Caenorhabditis elegans: one gene and its partners. The protein of the gene in region 2 purifies or fractionates together with the protein of the main gene of each other region. This does not show direct contact. Each region holds a gene or a part of one and is shown on either strand. Other genes may lie near its edges.

Region 1 (4,860 bases), on a different chromosome or scaffold from region 2:
AAAAAGTTTTTACTGAAAGAAATTTTAAAATTCAAGAAAATCTTTAAAATTGGGTAACAAAAAAATTTGGAAATGTATACGGAAAAAATACGCTTAAAAAAATATATAAAATTTTCTACAAGCTTTTGAATTTTGATTTTTCAAAGAATTCAATTTATCTCACAATCATAACTTTTCCAGAAAATTTTCGAATCATCAAACTTTAATTTTTTCAGATCCACGTGGTAATGATGGTAGCGATGGCTCGTTTCCAGGCTTCAATGTTCCATTATACACGTGCTGTGTGTAACTATAATGCAATGTGCCTCTCGAAAAAAGGATGGAGAAAGCCTTTGGATTGATCAGCTCGCGGAGCTCGAAATACATATTTTTCTCCAATTCTTTCTCCGAATCTTACATATTTTGCCCAATTTTGTTAATATTTCCTATTCCCTCCCTTTCTACCACACATTCTCGCTAGCGTTCGTGCACACAAGTGCGCTCCACGGGCAAATAGTGTGCTGGAGCGCACATTTCCTTTCTAGAATACTTTTGTTCGAATTGTTCTGTTAAGTGAAACCAAACTCATATAATATTCAAAATTTTAAACAAAAAAATTTATAAAACTTCTTGTTGAAAATTCCAAAAAAAAACAGTTTTTGTTCAATTTTTTCGTCACAAATTTCAAAAATCGACATTTTTGAAATTGTCTACTCAATTTTTCGCTGCATTTTTTCACAAAACACTCCATCCATCACGATCCCCAGATTTTTACCGGTTTTTGCGAATTTGTACGCTTTTATGCCCAATTTAGTGTACAAATTCAAGCAGGGGTTTTCCAACTTAAAAATACTTTTTTCTAATTTTTCTTGCTGATTTCCTTCAAAATCGAGTAGTTTTTGATGGCTTTACTGACTTTTTTCCTGAAAATTTTAATTTTTTCTGCATATTATTTTTATTTTCTCGCTAAAATTCCAATTTTACAGTCCATACATGTTTTTTTTCTTTTTCACTAATTCTACACTCATATGAATAAAGCACATATTATTATAATTTTTCCCCTAATATTTGACATTCAGGAAAAAATTTAAAATTAAAAATATAAAGGATAATTTCTTTGAAACTACAGTAATCCGAGAGATTTTAAAGGCGCATATAGGATTCTGGAAAAGAATCATTTTGCGCATTTTATTTTTATTGGAAAAATCATTTTATAAAAATAATTTTAATGGGTGTTTTATAGAAAAACTATAGTATTTACGCAAAAGTATAGAAAGTAGCCTAAAAAATACAAAAATAATTATTTTTGCCTATTTTCAGCGGTTTCAAGAGTTTACCTAAATATTTGAAGCAGTTTTCCTCTAAATTTGAATATTGAACGCAAAAACACCAATATGTTCCCGAAAAAAGAAATCCAAAATAAACTACGAGAATCCGATTAATTCCTGTTTGAAAAACCGCCAATTGTACATTTGCGATAGAGTGCGCTTGCAGCAGTATAGACTCGCCCTTCCGCGGAGATTGATTCACGGTTTCAAATTTGATTCATAATAATTTTGTAGTTTTTTTTAAGTTTTAATGGAAGAAAAAATACATTATAAGTTTCATTCAAATACTAAAAACATTTTTTTAAACTGTTTTGTTCTTAAACTCAAATATGAATGAAAAATTACCGGAGAATCTGCGTCTCCGGGGTGACGATTCCTCAAAATCCGGAGAGCCTCCAAAAACAGATTTTTCAAAACTGTTTTTCTCATGGATTTTTAAAAAATTTTCTCGTGTTTCAACATAACTTCTAGTGTTTCGAATGTTTTCTCTATAAAGTTTGTTTAAAAACATTCAAAAATCCTCAAATTCCAGAAAATGGATTCGTACACGTCATCTGACGAAGACGCCTCTCGAAAAGAAAGTGAGGCTTATTATTTTGTCGGTTTTTCTATAAATTGGCCAGATATTTCAGACGAAGGCTTGAATATGTTGAATGCATCGCCGGAGCCAATGGAGGAAGATGATCCAGAGGAGCAGGCGGAACAAGAAGAAGAAACCAGCAGAGTACGGGAGAATTATCGATTTTTAAGCGGTAAAATTGAATTTAAAAGCTAAAATTGAAACTTCAGATGGCTCGTCCTATAAGATCCATGAGAAAACGCGAAACAACGTCTGGGGAATCAATGGGCGATGAGGATGAAGATTTGGAGGATGAAGAGGACGAAGATGAAGAAGCTGAAGCTCGTGAGCATCATGAAAGTGGTGCTCATGACACATCTTTCTGTTAGTAAAGTTCTCAGGCTGAAAACTGGGAAAATCGATGAAAACTATCTAAAAAATCTGAATTTTCGATAAAAATCGAACTTTTTCAGAGAAAATTCGACATTTTTGCCCAAAAATACTCTTTAAAATCTGGACAGCCACAATTTCTAATAAATCCTGACAAACATACCACTTTTTGCGAAAAATCGACCATTAATTGTGGAAATTACCGGGTTACGTTTCAGTGAAATTTGACGACTCTCCGGCAGAAATTTTGACACTTCTAACTACTGCCAAAATTTAGCAATCGATCCTTAAACGGCGTTTTTCGTCAGAGAAGGACGGGGCTGCGCGCTTTTTTACTGATTCTTTTTGCATTTAGCATTCGAAATATTCATCTATGTCCCATTTATAAAGCTTTATATAAAAGTTGAACCACTTCGTACGCTTGTAAACTCCGCCAGCCTCTGCGGAACAAAAAAAGCCCAAGGATCGATTGATAAATTTCGAGAATAATTTTCCGAAGAAAAGCCCAGAAAATTCAAATTTTCATTGGTTTTTCAAAAGAGAATTTCCGGTTTAAACAGAAGAAAGGACAATTTTTAGTTCGAAATGTAGGAAAATTCACGAAAATCGGCTGTAATGGAATTTTTGTGATTTTTCCATTTAGTTGTGCTAAAATTGAAACAAATCGGTGAAAAAACTTTGAGAATGCGACGATTCCTTCGATTTTCACCGGGAAAATCGATATGAAACAATTTTCTGGTTTTAAGCCGAACAATTAATTAAAAGTAGGTAATTTCATTGAAAAAAATACGACGTAAAAAAAGGTTTTATAGTCATTTCTGAGCTTTTTCATGCTTTTATAAATAGCTTGAAAATCCACTTAAAACCTTGAAAAATTCCCAATTTCTTCCAGCAAATCCACTTTCCAACGTCGACAATCTAATCCACGTGGGAACCGAATATCAGGCGATTATACAGCCAACTGCAGAGCAATTGGAAAAAGAACCGTGCAGAGATCAACAAATTTGGGCGTTTCCAGACGAAATGAACGAGAATCGGCTTACAGAATACATTTCAGAAGCTACTGGACGATATCAATTACCTATAGATAGGGTACGATTGGAAAAACACCAAATTTAGAGAGAAACGTCTGAAAATTGGGAGAAAATGAGTTTTTCTCTGGAAAAAATAACAATTGACCATAATAAAAATTCGAGATTTTAAAAAATCAAGCCTTTTTTTTATTTTTCGGAAATGTACTTTGAATTTGAAAAAAAAACTAACTGCTTTTACAGGCTCTGTTCATTCTGAACAAACAGTCAAATGATTTCGACGCTGCGATGGTTCAAGCGATGAGAAGAAAAGAAATTCATGATGATTGGACGGCAGAAGAAATTAGTCTTTTCTCCACTTGCTTCTTTCATTTCGGAAAACGGTTCAAGAAGATTCATGCGGCTGTAAGTGCATATGTCAAAAAAAGGGAATTTTTGAAAATTTAATTTAATCATAAAAAGAAAATAAATTTCATTATTTTTTGCAGATGCCCCAACGCTCGCTTTCTTCCATTATCCAATACTATTACAACACGAAAAAAGTGCAAAACTATAAAACAATGATTAATGTGCATTTGAATGAAACCGACACTTATGATGAACTATTCAAAGAGGTCAATCATTTGGAGAGGGTTCCGTCGGGATATTGTGAGAATTGCAATGCAAAAAGTGATCTGTTGATTGTGAGTTTTAGAAAAAAATTAATAGAAAAACGATTTGTTAGAAAAATATGTTGACTTTTTCCAAAAAGGGAATTAAACAAATACACGGCACGGCGAACGGGACATGGCCTAGAAAGTTGCGAAAACTAGTCCCGCGGCTGCAATGCTTTTTTTTTGTTCATGAGGTTGCGGTGGTTTTTCGATGTTTTTTCGCGTTTTTTTGATGTTTTCTCGTCGTTTTTTCTTGTTTTCTTCGTTAATAATTGAAATAAAAATAATATTTTCAGCGAAAGACCACAAATCGCCGCAAAAATCAACCGGGTGAGCCACGAAAAGGCGAAAAACGTCGAAAAGTGAGTTGTTTTTCTAAATATCTCAAAAACTGTTGGTCCAGATTTTTTTTAAAGAGCCTTTGGTAAGAAAAAATACATGGCGGTTCTGAATTTTAATGATTTAGGTGTACAGCATGGGCCCAACTTGACTATTTTTTTGAGTTTAGTGAAAAATCAGAACATTTTTGTATAAAAAATTACGTTCCTCAAAAACTGTTGGTCCAGATTTTTTTTAAACGTCCTAGAATATTGAAAAAATCATGCTGGTTCTTAATTTGAAAGATTCAGGCTTGTAGCATGGGCCCAAGTTTACTGTTTTTTGCATTTAGTGAAAATTCAATAATTCGAGCGAAAAATTATTTTTCTCAATAAAAATTGGTCTCAGAATTTTTGAAACTTTTTTAATTATACACTGAAATATGCTGATTTCAAATTGATAAGTTTTGAATGTTCAGCTGACGGATTTTGCAATTATTTTTTTCGATTTAGTGAATATTCACATTTCTGAACAAAAATTAAATTTTTTCGAAAACTGTTGGTCCAGATTTTTTAAAAAGATCCTAAAATATGAATAAAAGC
Region 2 (3,840 bases):
ACCCAAATTATTTTGAAAATTGAGCTACACGGCTGTAACTTTGGAACTATGGGTAATCATGTATGAGCTTTCAGATTTTCACATTTTCACTTGACAATATAGGTCACGACCCAAATTATTTTGAAAGGTGAGCTACACGGCTGTAACTTTGGAACTATGGGTAATCAAGTATGAGCTTTCAGATTTTCACATTTTCACTTGACAATATAGGTCACGACCCAAATTATTTTGAAAGGTGAGCTACACGGCTGTAACTTTGGAGCCATGGGTAATCAAGTATGAGCTTTCAGATTTTCAGATTTTTACTTGATTTTATAGGTCACGACCCAAATTATTTTGAAAATTGAGCTACACGGCTGTAACTTTGGAGCTATGGGTAATCGAATATGAGCTTTCCGATTTTCACATTCTTACTTTATTATATAGGTCACGACCCAAATTATTTTGAGAATTAAGCTATATGGATTTAACTTTGAAGCTATGGGTAATCAAGTATGAGCTTTCAGATTTTCAGATTTTCACTTGATTATATAGGTCATGACCCAAATTATTTTGAGAATTAAGCTATATGGATTTAACTTTGAAGCTATGGGTAATTGAGTATGAGCTTTCAGATTTTCAGATTTTCACTTGATTATATAGGTCATGACCCAAATTATTTTGAGAATTAAGCTATATGGATTTAACTTTGAAGCTATGGGTAATTGAGTACGAGCTTTCAGATTTTCACGTTTTCATTCAATTATATAGGTCACGACCCAAATTATTTTGCATCTTGAGCCGTATGGGTCTATCTTTGAAGTTAAGGGTAATTGAATTTGACTTTTCACATTTTCACACTTTCACGGTAATAAATAGGCCACGAATTAATTTAGCTTGTAAATCAAGCTATAAGTCTTCAACTTTGGGGATACGGCTCATTAAGTGTGAGCTATCAGATTTTCACGTTTTCAAGTGGTTAAATATGTCAGTAACTTATTTATGTATTTTGGAACATGGGCTAAAGGTTTGTAATTTTCGAAACAAGGGCAATCGCAGATGAGCTTCCAGATTCTCACGTTTTTTTAGATGATTTTTTTCTTCTCAAACCCCTCTCTTCTCAAAGTTTGTATCCATATGTTTCTTAATGAAACATTTTATCTACAAATGTTCGCAGTTTATGATCGTTGTTGTATTGATTGTTGTATGATTTCCAGGAAAATTGCACGAAAGTCAATTCAAATGTTACTTTTTAGCCTGTTTCATTAAGAATCTGCGCACAATTAAAAAAAGTGACTGTGAAAACTTCAGATGGTCTGGTTTTTTTTGAAATAATAGAAAAATATAGAAGAAAATCAACTTTGAGTTTCAAATACAAATTATTTTAGAAAATGGAACAGTGACCGTGAAAGAGTGCAAATTCGACTTCCGGCATCTCTTTAAATACAAGAGAGGCTAAGCAAGATGAAATAAAAAAATTTGTTTTTGTCGACAGTGGCCGCCGACATAGGTTTGCACCTTTTCACGGTCACTCTTCCATTTTCAAATCGAAAGACTTGTTGAAAACCCGGGCCTATGTCTCCCGCTTTTTTCCGTGCGCTGTACGCGTTTAGTCTGCAGTGCGGCACACTCTCTCACTCTCGTCTCCTCTTGTTTTTTTTCCACTATCGATTTTTGGTTTCAGGTGGTTTTTCGCCAAAATGTCACGTCAAAACCCTGTCCGAAGCACTCGCGGGAATTCACTCAGAGCTCGGGAAGCTCAGCAGGCACAAGATGCTCCGTTGTTTCAGGAAGTGAGTTTTTTTTAAATTTAAAATCGAGAAAAAATTGAAGGATCGGCAATATTAATGTGAAAAATATATTTCTAGTCCTCCAGCAACGTCTTCGTGGTGGAAAAAGTGTTGAATAAACGGTTGACGCGTGGCGGAAGCGAGTACTATATAAAATGGCAGGTTCGTACATTTTCGTCCTTAAAATGTTATTTGAACAATAATTTGTGCTTCAGGGATTCCCAGAGTCCGAGTGCAGTTGGGAGCCAATTGAGAACCTCCAGTGCGATAGGATGATTCAGGAATACGAGAAGGAAGCGGCAAAGGTGAGATTTTTCAAATTTATTGAGATGAAAATACATAGTAACAAAATTGCAGCGCACAACACGCAAACGTCGATATTCCCCACAACCGTCGACTTCGTCTTCTGCAGAGCTCCAACCATCTACCAGCGATGAATGGGCTGGGAAAACACTGAAGACAATTATTGGAATCACCAAGGCACCCGGAGAACTGCATTTCTTGTGCAAGTTCAGCGACGACTCTGTGCATTTGATTCCATTGAGAGAAGCCAATGTTCGGTAAATATTATCGTTTATAAAAATTTTAGTTTTTCCCTCTAAAATTAGCGACAAAAAATAATTCGGATTTGAAAGAGTCTGAAAAAGATTTAGAATGTTACAAAATTGAAAAATATGGTGAAAGTCGAAAGCTTAATATTCCTGCAAGCCTGGATTTTTCATGTTTATTAAATTTTTGTTTTTTTCTGGTATTTGACAGAAAATAAACAGGGCAATACTATAAGTTTAAAGCAAATCAAAAAATCTAAAAATGCTCACAATCGACTCTTTAACGTACTGTTAAAGTATATAAATGCATCCTAAAATTCATGAAGCTCTGCGGAACGAGCAAATTCGGCCTTCAATACGTGCTAGCAGAACAGCCAAAAATAATAGGTTATTTTTATAAATGGAAAATATGAAACCTCGAATTTCATGATGTAGTTAACATCTAAGAAAGTGCTTCTCGTACACTTAAAAGGCATTAGAAAAACTTGCCTTGAACGTAGTGTGATACTGTAATAAGTTGAGTCAAGATAAAACATTTGTCACGGCAAAGTAACTCGCCCCAAAGAACCTAAGTTGGCGCTATTCACAAGTCGCAAGGGATTTCTTGCAATATTCAAAACTTTTTAAAATATCGCTACTGCAAAGTCATCAAAAATATTAGTTTTCAATAAAGTGTGATTTTCAGTTTTCCAAGTCAAGTCATCAAATTCTACGAAACCCGTCTTGTTCTTCAAGGAGTTTCGCCAACCATCCCAGGAGGAATGAGCTAATTTAATTTCAAAAATTATATCGCACCCTCTCCCCTTCCCATAATTTGATTGTTCTCTCAGTACGTTTCGTGAATTTTCTCGCTGAGATTTCGTTGATGAAGGACTTACTCTTTGTTCGCTTCCCATTTTTCTTAACAAATTTTTGAACTTTTTATATTAAATTTTTTCACATCATTTTGTTTTTTCCTTTAATAAATTATTTAAATATTTGCTTTAGAAACAATCCTTTACCAGATAAACGAAAACGCACATTCTTCTGATTTTATGTTACCGTATCAGAAAAGAAAGATGTAGTTTCTATCTTCTCATCACGTGCTGGGATGCAAAAATGTGACAGGTTGATACATTAATACCGAAATAGTCAATAATGACCACGCTACAACGTGTTTTACAACGAAAGTATTTCTTTAAGAATTTTGTTCAGTTTTTAACAACTCATAATTTTGCTTCTAAAACAAACCTTTCTGATAATCTGACGTTGTCTTGTAAATTGGCTAGTTGTCTGAAAGCGCAACATTTCCTGAAAAGTTTAAATTGTTTATTAGAACCGTTTGATCATATAATTATTAGAGCACATTAAAAATATAAACACAGTTCTTTGTCCGTTTGAAAAAAAAATTTTGTTTGAATTGACTTATCAGATTTTTCACATTTTTAAAAAACTGATTTTATGAAGCCTAAATTTTGCAAACCTGTTTTTGTCAGAACAGTTCATTTTTGTTTTATGAAGGTTTTTATGAAAGCTCATCCTTA
Region 3 (5,423 bases), on a different chromosome or scaffold from region 2:
GTTTTCCAGATGTGTATTTTTTGAGATACGCCAGTTTGAAAATACTCAGTTCAGAGAGTTTTGGAGGTTATTTCATTTTTAGATCGAAAGCCACACCATCAACTCCAGTGCATCCTTGTCTGACATGTCTGATACTACGGCGTCATGTTCCTATATGCTCAAAAGCAGAAAACAAGTGATTAACTCCGACTCCAAATGAATTTCTTATGTAAAATTTCATTGTTATTGATTTTACGTTCGAATCAGTCCTATCAAAATTAATATAAATTAAAACATGACTCAGCTACTACTAATTGTTGCCCGAACTGTTGTGTACAGATTGAAAGATTGTAAATATGTATACCCTTTGAATGAATGAACAAATTGAGTAGATTTGCCTTTGATATAGTGCAAGGGTGAGCAAGGGTAGGCAATGAGAACAGGTGGTCAATGATTTTGGAGTCAATAAGTATTTGCCGTACCGTATGTCTTATATTTTGTCGAATCCAATCTCCCAAATTAAAAGAAAACAACTTTATCTTCAAACTACTAAAAGAATGCATTGATATTATGATATCATATAAAATTTTCAAAGAAAAACAAATTTCAAGAAATAAGAATAAAGCAAGAATGGGAGAGGCAGAAGTACATCAAAATTATAGAATAATTTAGACCAGCACGGGAGAAAAATAGAACACAGAAATGGAGAAAGAACGGAAACTGGCAAAAAACAAAAATATCCTGTTTGTAGAAGGGGGACCCAGTAAAATTTTTAGACAAAATTTGAGCATTAATTAAAAAAACAATCAAAGATTTAGGGATTATTCAAAAGGAACACGTGGCTTGCGAACTCTTTCCGGATAGTCCTTCTTTTCACCGCCTCGCAGCTCCTCGATTGATCGCTTTTTGTAGACTTTCCTTGGCGGTTTAGCTTCAGAGTTGCTCGGCGATGGAAAGTTCTTCGGAACCACTAGTCGGAATTGTTTGATCGCTGAGCCCTCATTGATCGGAAGAAGCTGATATTTCCAATCAGTGAACATTTGGGTCGAGATTTTTGAATTTTCTGGAGAAGGATCTTCCGATTTTGTTTCAATATTATTGTTCAACGCTGGACTCGCCGGGACGTCATCCTTCTCCTTGGATCCTCCGATTCGCTTCCTGTGTCCAGTTTTCTTGGGCCGGATTTTTTGATTTTTCTTCTTCGGTGGAGTTTGGCTACAAAAATAGGTATTTAATTTATTTTAAATATAACTGTTAAACCTTGTCAAACGTTTTCTCACCATTTTTTGAACTTTGATTTTATTTGTTTTTATGGGATTTTTCGACCTGACTGTCCCATAATTTATAATTAATATTACTTTTTGGCTGAAAAAAAATTTTCAAAAATTGCCTTAAATTATATAGAAAATAGTTTGCTATGAGTGAATAACTGTTCAAAAAATTAATAATTTTTTCTGAATTTTTCATAAGGTTTAGGCTAACGATTAGGCTTGGGCTTGGGCTTAGGCTTAAGCTTTGGCTTAGGCTGAGATGGGGGAGGGAAAGAGATATTCCCAGAAATTCCTAAATATTCAGAAAAAAAAAATAAACATAAATATTTGAAAGCGATAAAAAATAAGGAAAACGAGATATTCCTAACTATATGTCGGGTCAAAAAATCCGTCAAAAACGGCAGAAAAGGTATCAAAATTTACCTGATTTTTGATGGAAAATATTAGAAAAAAAGACTACTATACTGCTAACTTTTGGTAATTTTTAGTTTAAAAAATACTGGAAATTTTATTATAATTTTTTCCTAATTTCCAAAATCCCAAAAAAACATTTGGTATAGAGAACCAAATCTAACCGAATAATGCTGATATTGCTCGACTTCATTTTCTCTTCACGTGCTTTCAGCTCCTCTTTTGTCGGAAAATCTGGATGCTCAAGTCGCCAATTTCCACCAATCCCATTCTTCTCGCTGTAGTAGAAATCGACAAGCGTTTTGGTGTCCACGGATTTTTTGAGCTGAAAAATTTCAAATTTCAAATTTCAAATTTTAAGAATCAAAAAAATTTCAAATTTTGAGAATCAAAAAAATTTCAAATTTTAAGAATCAATGTAAGTACTGACCATTTTCGAGAGATAAAACTTTTTGAACGGTTTATTCTTCATTGCCCTCGCCTCCCGCTCAATCGGAATATTTGCCACGAACATGTCCTTCACCGCATCTGACATCAAATCGGGAGCAGCCATCTCTTGAGCCATAGCTATAGTCGCATCAACATCATAGTTGCAGCTTGCCAAAACTTTCAGAACCTGAAAATTTCGAATTAAGCTTTCCAGAAAAATTAGGGAAAAAGCGCTCACTATGTCAAATGACAAGTGCGTTGTTTCCTGTTTGAGCCGGCTCTCGTCCTGCTGGGAAAGTGTAGTGTGCAATGGGAATACGTATGGTGCATCGCAATCGTCGTCTTGAAAAGGTTTTCTAATCTCGAAATCCGGAATGTCCGCGCAACCACTAGAAAAAAGGATAAGTGAAAATTACTTTTTTTGAATTTCGAGCGAAAACATTTGTTCTTTTTTCTCCCCCGGCGCCGCCTAAACCTAAGCCTAAGTTTAAGTCTAAGCTTGAGCCTAAGCCTAATAATAAGCCTAAGCTAACACCTAGGTCTAGGTCTAAGCCTAAGCCTAGACCCAAGCCTAGACCTACGCCTAAGCGTAGGTATAAGCCAGGCCTATGCCTAAACGAATGCTTAAGCTCAAACCTAGGCTTCAGCCCAAGCCTAAGCCTAGGTCTAAGCCTAAGCCAAAGCCGAAGCCGAAGCTTAAACCTAAGCCTAGGCTTAAGCCTATGCCTAAGCCTAAGTTTAAACCTAGGCCTCAGCCCAAGCCTAAGTCTAGGTCTAAGCCTAAGCCAAAGCCGAAGCTTAAGCCTAAGCCTAGGCTTATACCTAAGCCTATGCGTAAGCCTAAACCTAAGCCCAAGCTTAAGCTCAAGCCTGAGCTTAAGGATCGGCCTAAACCTAGGCCTAAACCTAAGCCTTAGCCTAAGCCTAAGCCTAAGAATAGGCCTAAGCCCAAGCTTAAGCCCCAGCCTGAGCCTAAGAATAGGCCTAAACCTAAGTGGCCGAGTTTTTTGAAAAGTTTTTTTAAATTAACTTTAAGTTTCCTAACTGTTTTGTTAAATTCAAAAATTAATAAAATTACAAAAAAATTTTAATCCAAAAAAATTTAATTTTTATGAAAATTTTCTTTAAAAGTCTATTTTATTCAGAAATTAATTTTTTAAAATTTACAATAAAATTATTATACTTGATAAATTTAGAAACCTGAATAAATAAATATTTTAATGAATTTTCCCAAAAATATTCGAATTTTCAAGATTATTTTTTGTAAACTTTAATTCTAACCCACCTTGGCTTGTGGCTCAAGTGATACGAGGTGTCTTTGTTCCATTTTGACCATTTTCTCAAATATCTGAATTTTCGTTCTTCTTTTACAGGCTCAGCCACGTTGTCATTCGCATTATCAGCAACTTTCGGCATTATTTCCATTTTTTGTCGCTAAAATTTTTTGAAATTTAGAAATTATGAATTGTCTCAATTTTCTCAACCTATTACTCAAAAAAACGGGCGAAAAAAACGCGGTAAAAGCTTAAAATTCGACGAAAATCCAAGTATTCTGAAAAAAAATGAACAGGCACGCGAGAGAGTGTGCGCAGTGTGGTGAACGGTGTGCAAGAGCGTGGGGAATGAGGAGACGCAGACACAAAAACAGACACACACTTTGAAAGCGGTTGTGAGAAGGGGGACGAAATGAGGAGGGAGAAGAAATGAGAAAACAAAATCTTTGAATATTTGTTGAAACATTGAAATTTTGATGATAATTCAAATTCAATTTTGCGGGAAAATAATTGTGGCTCACAGGCAAAAATCGATAATAGGATTTTTTTTGTTAATGATCAAAATGTGTTCCTCAGCCCAAAATATCTGACAATCCATGTGAGACCTGCGAGTTAAATTTATGTGGAGACATTTAACAGATGCTAGGAAAAAAAAATGTTTTTTAAATGTAAAGGTGTGACAGAAAACGTTCTCAAATATATTATAACAGTAAAAATTTATTAAAAAATTTTAATGATTAAAAGTTTTTTTTTTTAAAAGACCGAATTATTTGTAAATTTCTGAAACATCGGTTGTCATATTTTCTGACGTTTTTATTAACAAAACTTGATAACTGGTAAAAAATGCACTAAAACTTCAAATTTCAACACTTTTTGCAAAAAAAAAATGTGATAAGTTATGTTTAACATTGCAAAACAAAATAATAACTTATTACCCAAAAACATGAAGATCACGCGTGAATTCAAAATTAAAAAAATAATTCCAGCCACTTGATTTTTTTTTGCAAAATTAGAAAAATATTAAATTTAGATAATTTTTTTAAATTTTTTTAAGAGTCATATTTGGTGCATTTTCGATCATTCAAGGAGCTTGAACGAAAAACAGTTTGAAAAAATAATTTATTTTAATAAAAACATCTTATGTGTTAAACACAATTGTGAAACATTGTACAATACGGGTGAGGAAAACAGAAATGACGAAATCATTAGATTAAACACAATAGGCGGTCCCCGCTGCACATTTTCTCATTGCCCACAACTTGGTACATTATTCCAGGTGCACATTAGATCGATCACTTAGCCATCTACCAAGTTTGTACAGAACATGTGTTACGTACATATCTAATATACAACTAACGGAAACCTGTAATGAAAAATTTAAAAAGTCCAATTTGAATTACTGAAGACAGATCCAATATACCGAAAATAATTGTGAAAATAAATTTAAAACTTTTTCTAAATAAAATTTTTTTTTCAATTTTACAACAAAAAAAAGCTAGCAAAATCATAATTATTTTCGACTTTCCGGCTAAATTATATATCTAGTTTTGTTTCATTTGATTTGAAATATTCATCAAAACAGATAGCTGAAACTCTGAAATTGGCATGTGGAAAATTTACATTTATTAAAATTTGAAAAATGAAAGTTTCTGAAAATTAAAAAACGGTGATTCACGTTTTATTTTAATTGAATCATTTGAAAAAATCAAAAAATTTAGCTAGAAAACATAAAAATGTAAAAAAAAAGAAAGAAAAAAAAAAAAATAAAATTCGGGAAAATTAATAACCGTTTTTTACACTTTTATATTTTTACATATTTGGTCGAAGTTTAAGCCAATTTTTCAGTTTTAGTGAATTTATTACGGAATTTATTTCTTTTTCAGAATTTCTTTTATTATAGTTTTCACATCTGCATATTTCCGTCACCAGACTAAACTCATCATTGACGAGTTCTCTACATTAGTACATGTATAGTATACTGGCTTTTATCTTATTAGTGCATCTAATTCATTATACGGTCTCGTGATTCTTAAATTAGCCTATATACAATTTGGATTTC
Region 4 (3,509 bases), 1.2 Mb from region 2:
TATCTTCGCCGTACATTTTTCCTGTAGATTCATATCGTACACTGTGATTAATGGTTCATTGTCGAGTGCTCCGATGCACCACACTGGCAGGTGCAATTGTAGAACAGACACATTCTGTTGATTGGCAGGGTGTAGTAAAATCGTGAATAGTGGTTTTGGCACAGTGCCAACTGTGGAGAATATTAAAAGAAGCACTCCGAATTTGAAAGAATGGCATGTGAAATGAGAAGTACAGAATTGTGAAAAGAGAAATCGTAATTGAAAAGACAGAAAAGTCAGTGGAAAGACGACAGCTTTATTGAAACGCCGTTGCTTGAAATTTGAAAAAAAAAACTTGGCCGATTTGTTAAAAATATTTTCACAGAGTTATAACAAACAATCAAACTTTTGCAGAAGAAACATTCTGAACAACTTTTCCACTTACCTAACACATACCTGGAATACAATTGAATTTGCAAATGTTATGATAAACACATCAAAACTAAATTAACAAGCAATAGAACACATTAAACTCAAAATATCTACAAATAAAATCACTATATTGCACTTAACAACTATTTAAAATATTTAAACAGTTTCAAAGTCCGTATGTCGTTCTAAAATCCATTATCTTTGGCACACCCTGATGTATCTAGGTCATCATGAAGTTTGATGCATCTGAGTATCCAATACAATAACAAAAACATTTTCCTAAATCTTTTAAAACATTTTTGAAACTAATTTTCTTGAGTCTCAGAATATTAGATGTTCAAACTCTACAAGGAAAAAAAAAGAACAAAAGCACAACAAATAAGCAAAAAACAATTGTTGAGTGGATAAATCCGTGATGAAGTTTCATATTTTTAATCATGATACTTTTACATATGACTTTTCGTATTTGATCTAATCAGTTTAAGAATATAAAAATGAATATCTTATTTCCTATCTAATTTCCTTGAGAAAACACAACCTTTAAACATCAAAACCGTATTTGAAAATGTTGACTCAGCTTCCTTTTTCAAAAAGATCGGCAAACAATTGACCATTCTTTAGGTAGAATCTCCACAATTATGCAATTTTAAAAACATCACATCTTCATATCAAATCCTGACTTAATATTACTAGACAAACCACTTGTTGTTGGCAGAAAACAACGAGGAAGTGTGGCAAAGTGTATAGCAAGTTGATTTGAAAAATGACTTAAATTCTGATTAAATCACTATAAAACCAATTAAAGTACTGTTAGAACAACTCTAATATGCTTGTTCAATAGTTTGGATAGCCAAACTTGAACCTTTTGCAGTTTCTAGTTGTCTGAAATGGCGTGTTCTTTGAACGACTGCTGGCGAAGGCGAAAACAACCCCCGTTTTCAAACATGACCGGCGGCATGAAAAGTGGTATATCTTGGGTTATAGCCGATGGATTTTCAATATTTTTAGGTTTCTGAACAGCCAAGCATTTTATCTTTCTAATTATATAATAAAAACTAACAGTTGCAACTGAAACTGGAGAGAAAAACGAAGTCAAAGTCAGAAGTTAGAGTTACATTTTCAGAAAACTCAAAATTTCAGTATGAAGATGCTTTGAGGAGGATAAGTATCTTATATATTCTTGTAGGAAAAGTGTCTGGCTACTCATTAAAACAATTTTCAACTCAATATCTCTTTATTGTTAAAAGATATCCGTGTTTGAAGAGAGTCAGGTCGTGTGAAAACCAATGCGTCGACTTCAGGGCCCAATTACTCGGTCATTTATAATCGTTTTCTCTCGAATTTTGAGCACAATGTAGATAATGTCTTCAGCTATCAGATGTTATCAGGAAATTTCATAAAAATTGATCCGGAGTATCCAAATTGTCAGCGCCCGACACCTCCTCCTTTCGAGACCTGCTATCTTATTCGGTGCAGTAAGGGAGAGGCGGGATGTGTCCCCGCAGGGTGGTAGAAATTGGGTATATAAGAGAACGAGAGGACTCGCACAGTCATCACTTTTCAAGTGTCACCCAACCAACCAAACCGCCGTCGAACGATGTCTGATTCCGCTGTTGTTGCCGCCGCTGTCGAGCCAAAGGTCCCAAAGGCTAAGGCCGCCAAGGCCGCCAAGCCAACCAAAGTTGCCAAGGCCAAGGCTCCAGTCGCTCACCCACCATACATCAACATGATCAAGGAGGCCATCAAGCAGCTCAAGGACCGCAAAGGAGCTTCCAAGCAGGCAATCCTCAAGTTCATCTCCCAAAACTACAAGCTCGGAGACAATGTCATCCAGGTAAATTTCAATTCATTATTATTCTTAGTCAAAACTTGCCAACAATTTCGAATAATTTTATCTCACAGTTCTTATTTCTTTAAACTTATAATTTTAATTTCAGATCAATGCTCATCTCCGTCAGGCTCTCAAGCGTGGTGTCACCAGCAAGGCCCTTGTTCAAGCCGCCGGATCCGGAGCCAACGGACGTTTCCGTGTGCCAGAGAAGGCCGCCGCCGCCAAGAAGCCAGCAGCAGCCAAGAAGCCAGCAGCAGCCAAGAAACCAGCAGCCGCCAAGAAAGCCACTGGAGAGAAGAAGGCAAAGAAGCCAGCCGCTGCCAAGCCAAAGAAGGCCGCCACCGGAGATAAGAAGGTCAAGAAGGCCAAGAGCCCAAAGAAGGTTGCCAAGCCAGCTGCCAAGAAGGTCGCCAAGTCTCCAGCCAAGAAGGCCGCTCCAAAGAAGATCGCCAAGCCAGCTGCCAAGAAGGCCGCCAAGCCAGCCGCCAAGGCCTAAATAATCTGCCTTTTCCCCTTCTAATATGTTCCTACCTCTGTCTTCTATCATCTAACTTATCGGATCTCCTCATTCCCAATCCCCAATGACACATAGAACTACGCTAGTGTCCTATGTTGTTTCCAATTTCTTCCCTGTAAGTTCTCCGTGTTCTTACAATCTTCATGCTGGTATAATTATTTATCTCATTCATCAAATTTGATAATTTGACGTTCAACGTCTTCAATAAACATTGTAAAATTTAAAACTGTGTTCGGCTTATTTTTTTTTCTTAAAATTTCAGATTTCACGGCTCTTTTCTTAGAATGGTTATGGGCGGAATTGAAATTTAGGCAAATCGAAAGTCACGTTGATCATTGTTGAGTTGGCTGACTGTTGGCGATGTGCCAACAGTGGTGTGATTAACAGAAAACTGTTGGCCGCGTGCCAACACTGCGCAATCGTGAAGTCGTCACACACCAATGCGCGGTGGGTGGCTGGGTGGCCGCTTCTTGAGAAAAAAGAGGAGAAGAAAATATTGTGTAAGAAGAGGAGGGCGTAAAGAGCGCAACAAAGACATGTTCGTTTTATAGAAGCGAATAGTCGATGAAGAAATTGAACGGGTTGGAAACAAAGAAAAGGGATTTCCGACAATTAAGGCAATATGGATTATTTCGGCAGGGAAAAGGGAATAGAGAGGTTTCTTTATATGGAATTTATTCTGGCAAATATATAATATCAAGTTATTCAAGAAAGAAATTGTAAAAAAATAATGTTTTTAAATTTATAGTC

Evidence for each region.
Region 1: the proteins of hpl-1 (region 2) and rcor-1 purify together in Caenorhabditis elegans (affinity purification with mass spectrometry, with the first as the bait; one study listed by BioGRID). This does not show direct contact.
Region 3: the proteins of hpl-1 (region 2) and T03D3.5 purify together in Caenorhabditis elegans (affinity purification with mass spectrometry, with the first as the bait; one study listed by BioGRID). This does not show direct contact.
Region 4: the proteins of hpl-1 (region 2) and his-24 purify together in Caenorhabditis elegans (affinity purification with western blotting, with the first as the bait; one study listed by BioGRID). This does not show direct contact.

What each region holds. Positions count from the first base shown.
Region 1 is NC_003279.8:23,761-28,620, reverse strand, and holds the start of rcor-1 (REST corepressor rcor-1), read left to right. Parts: upstream 1-1,839; 5' UTR 1,840-1,842; coding exon 1,843-1,888; intron 1,889-1,930; coding exon 1,931-2,031; intron 2,032-2,096; coding exon 2,097-2,250; intron 2,251-3,148; coding exon 3,149-3,348; intron 3,349-3,530; coding exon 3,531-3,692; intron 3,693-3,775; coding exon 3,776-3,970; intron 3,971-4,860. Other genes in the region: sesn-1 (Sestrin homolog), read left to right, coding at 216-341.
Region 2 is NC_003284.9:13,243,749-13,247,588, forward strand, and holds hpl-1 (Chromobox protein homolog hpl-1), read left to right. Parts: upstream 1-1,641; 5' UTR 1,642-1,679; coding exon 1,680-1,772; intron 1,773-1,847; coding exon 1,848-1,931; intron 1,932-1,984; coding exon 1,985-2,074; intron 2,075-2,126; coding exon 2,127-2,329; intron 2,330-3,002; coding exon 3,003-3,087; 3' UTR 3,088-3,296; downstream 3,297-3,840. UniProt on the Caenorhabditis elegans protein: Seems to be involved in transcriptional silencing in heterochromatin-like complexes. Involved in epigenetic repression. Probably does not act as global transcriptional repressor. Plays a role in linking epigenetic regulation with the innate immune response.
Region 3 is NC_003283.11:2,823,306-2,828,728, forward strand, and holds T03D3.5 (CUE domain-containing protein), read right to left. Parts: upstream 3,531-5,423; 5' UTR 3,516-3,530; coding exon 3,376-3,515; intron 2,480-3,375; coding exon 2,329-2,479; intron 2,278-2,328; coding exon 2,092-2,277; intron 1,987-2,091; coding exon 1,826-1,986; intron 1,195-1,825; coding exon 801-1,194; 3' UTR 501-800; downstream 1-500.
Region 4 is NC_003284.9:14,488,131-14,491,639, forward strand, and holds his-24 (Histone 24), read left to right. Parts: upstream 1-1,963; 5' UTR 1,964-2,008; coding exon 2,009-2,245; exon of another isoform or gene 2,246-2,348; coding exon 2,349-2,738; 3' UTR 2,739-2,989; downstream 2,990-3,509. UniProt on the Caenorhabditis elegans protein: Histones H1 are necessary for the condensation of nucleosome chains into higher-order structures. Probably does not act as global transcriptional repressor.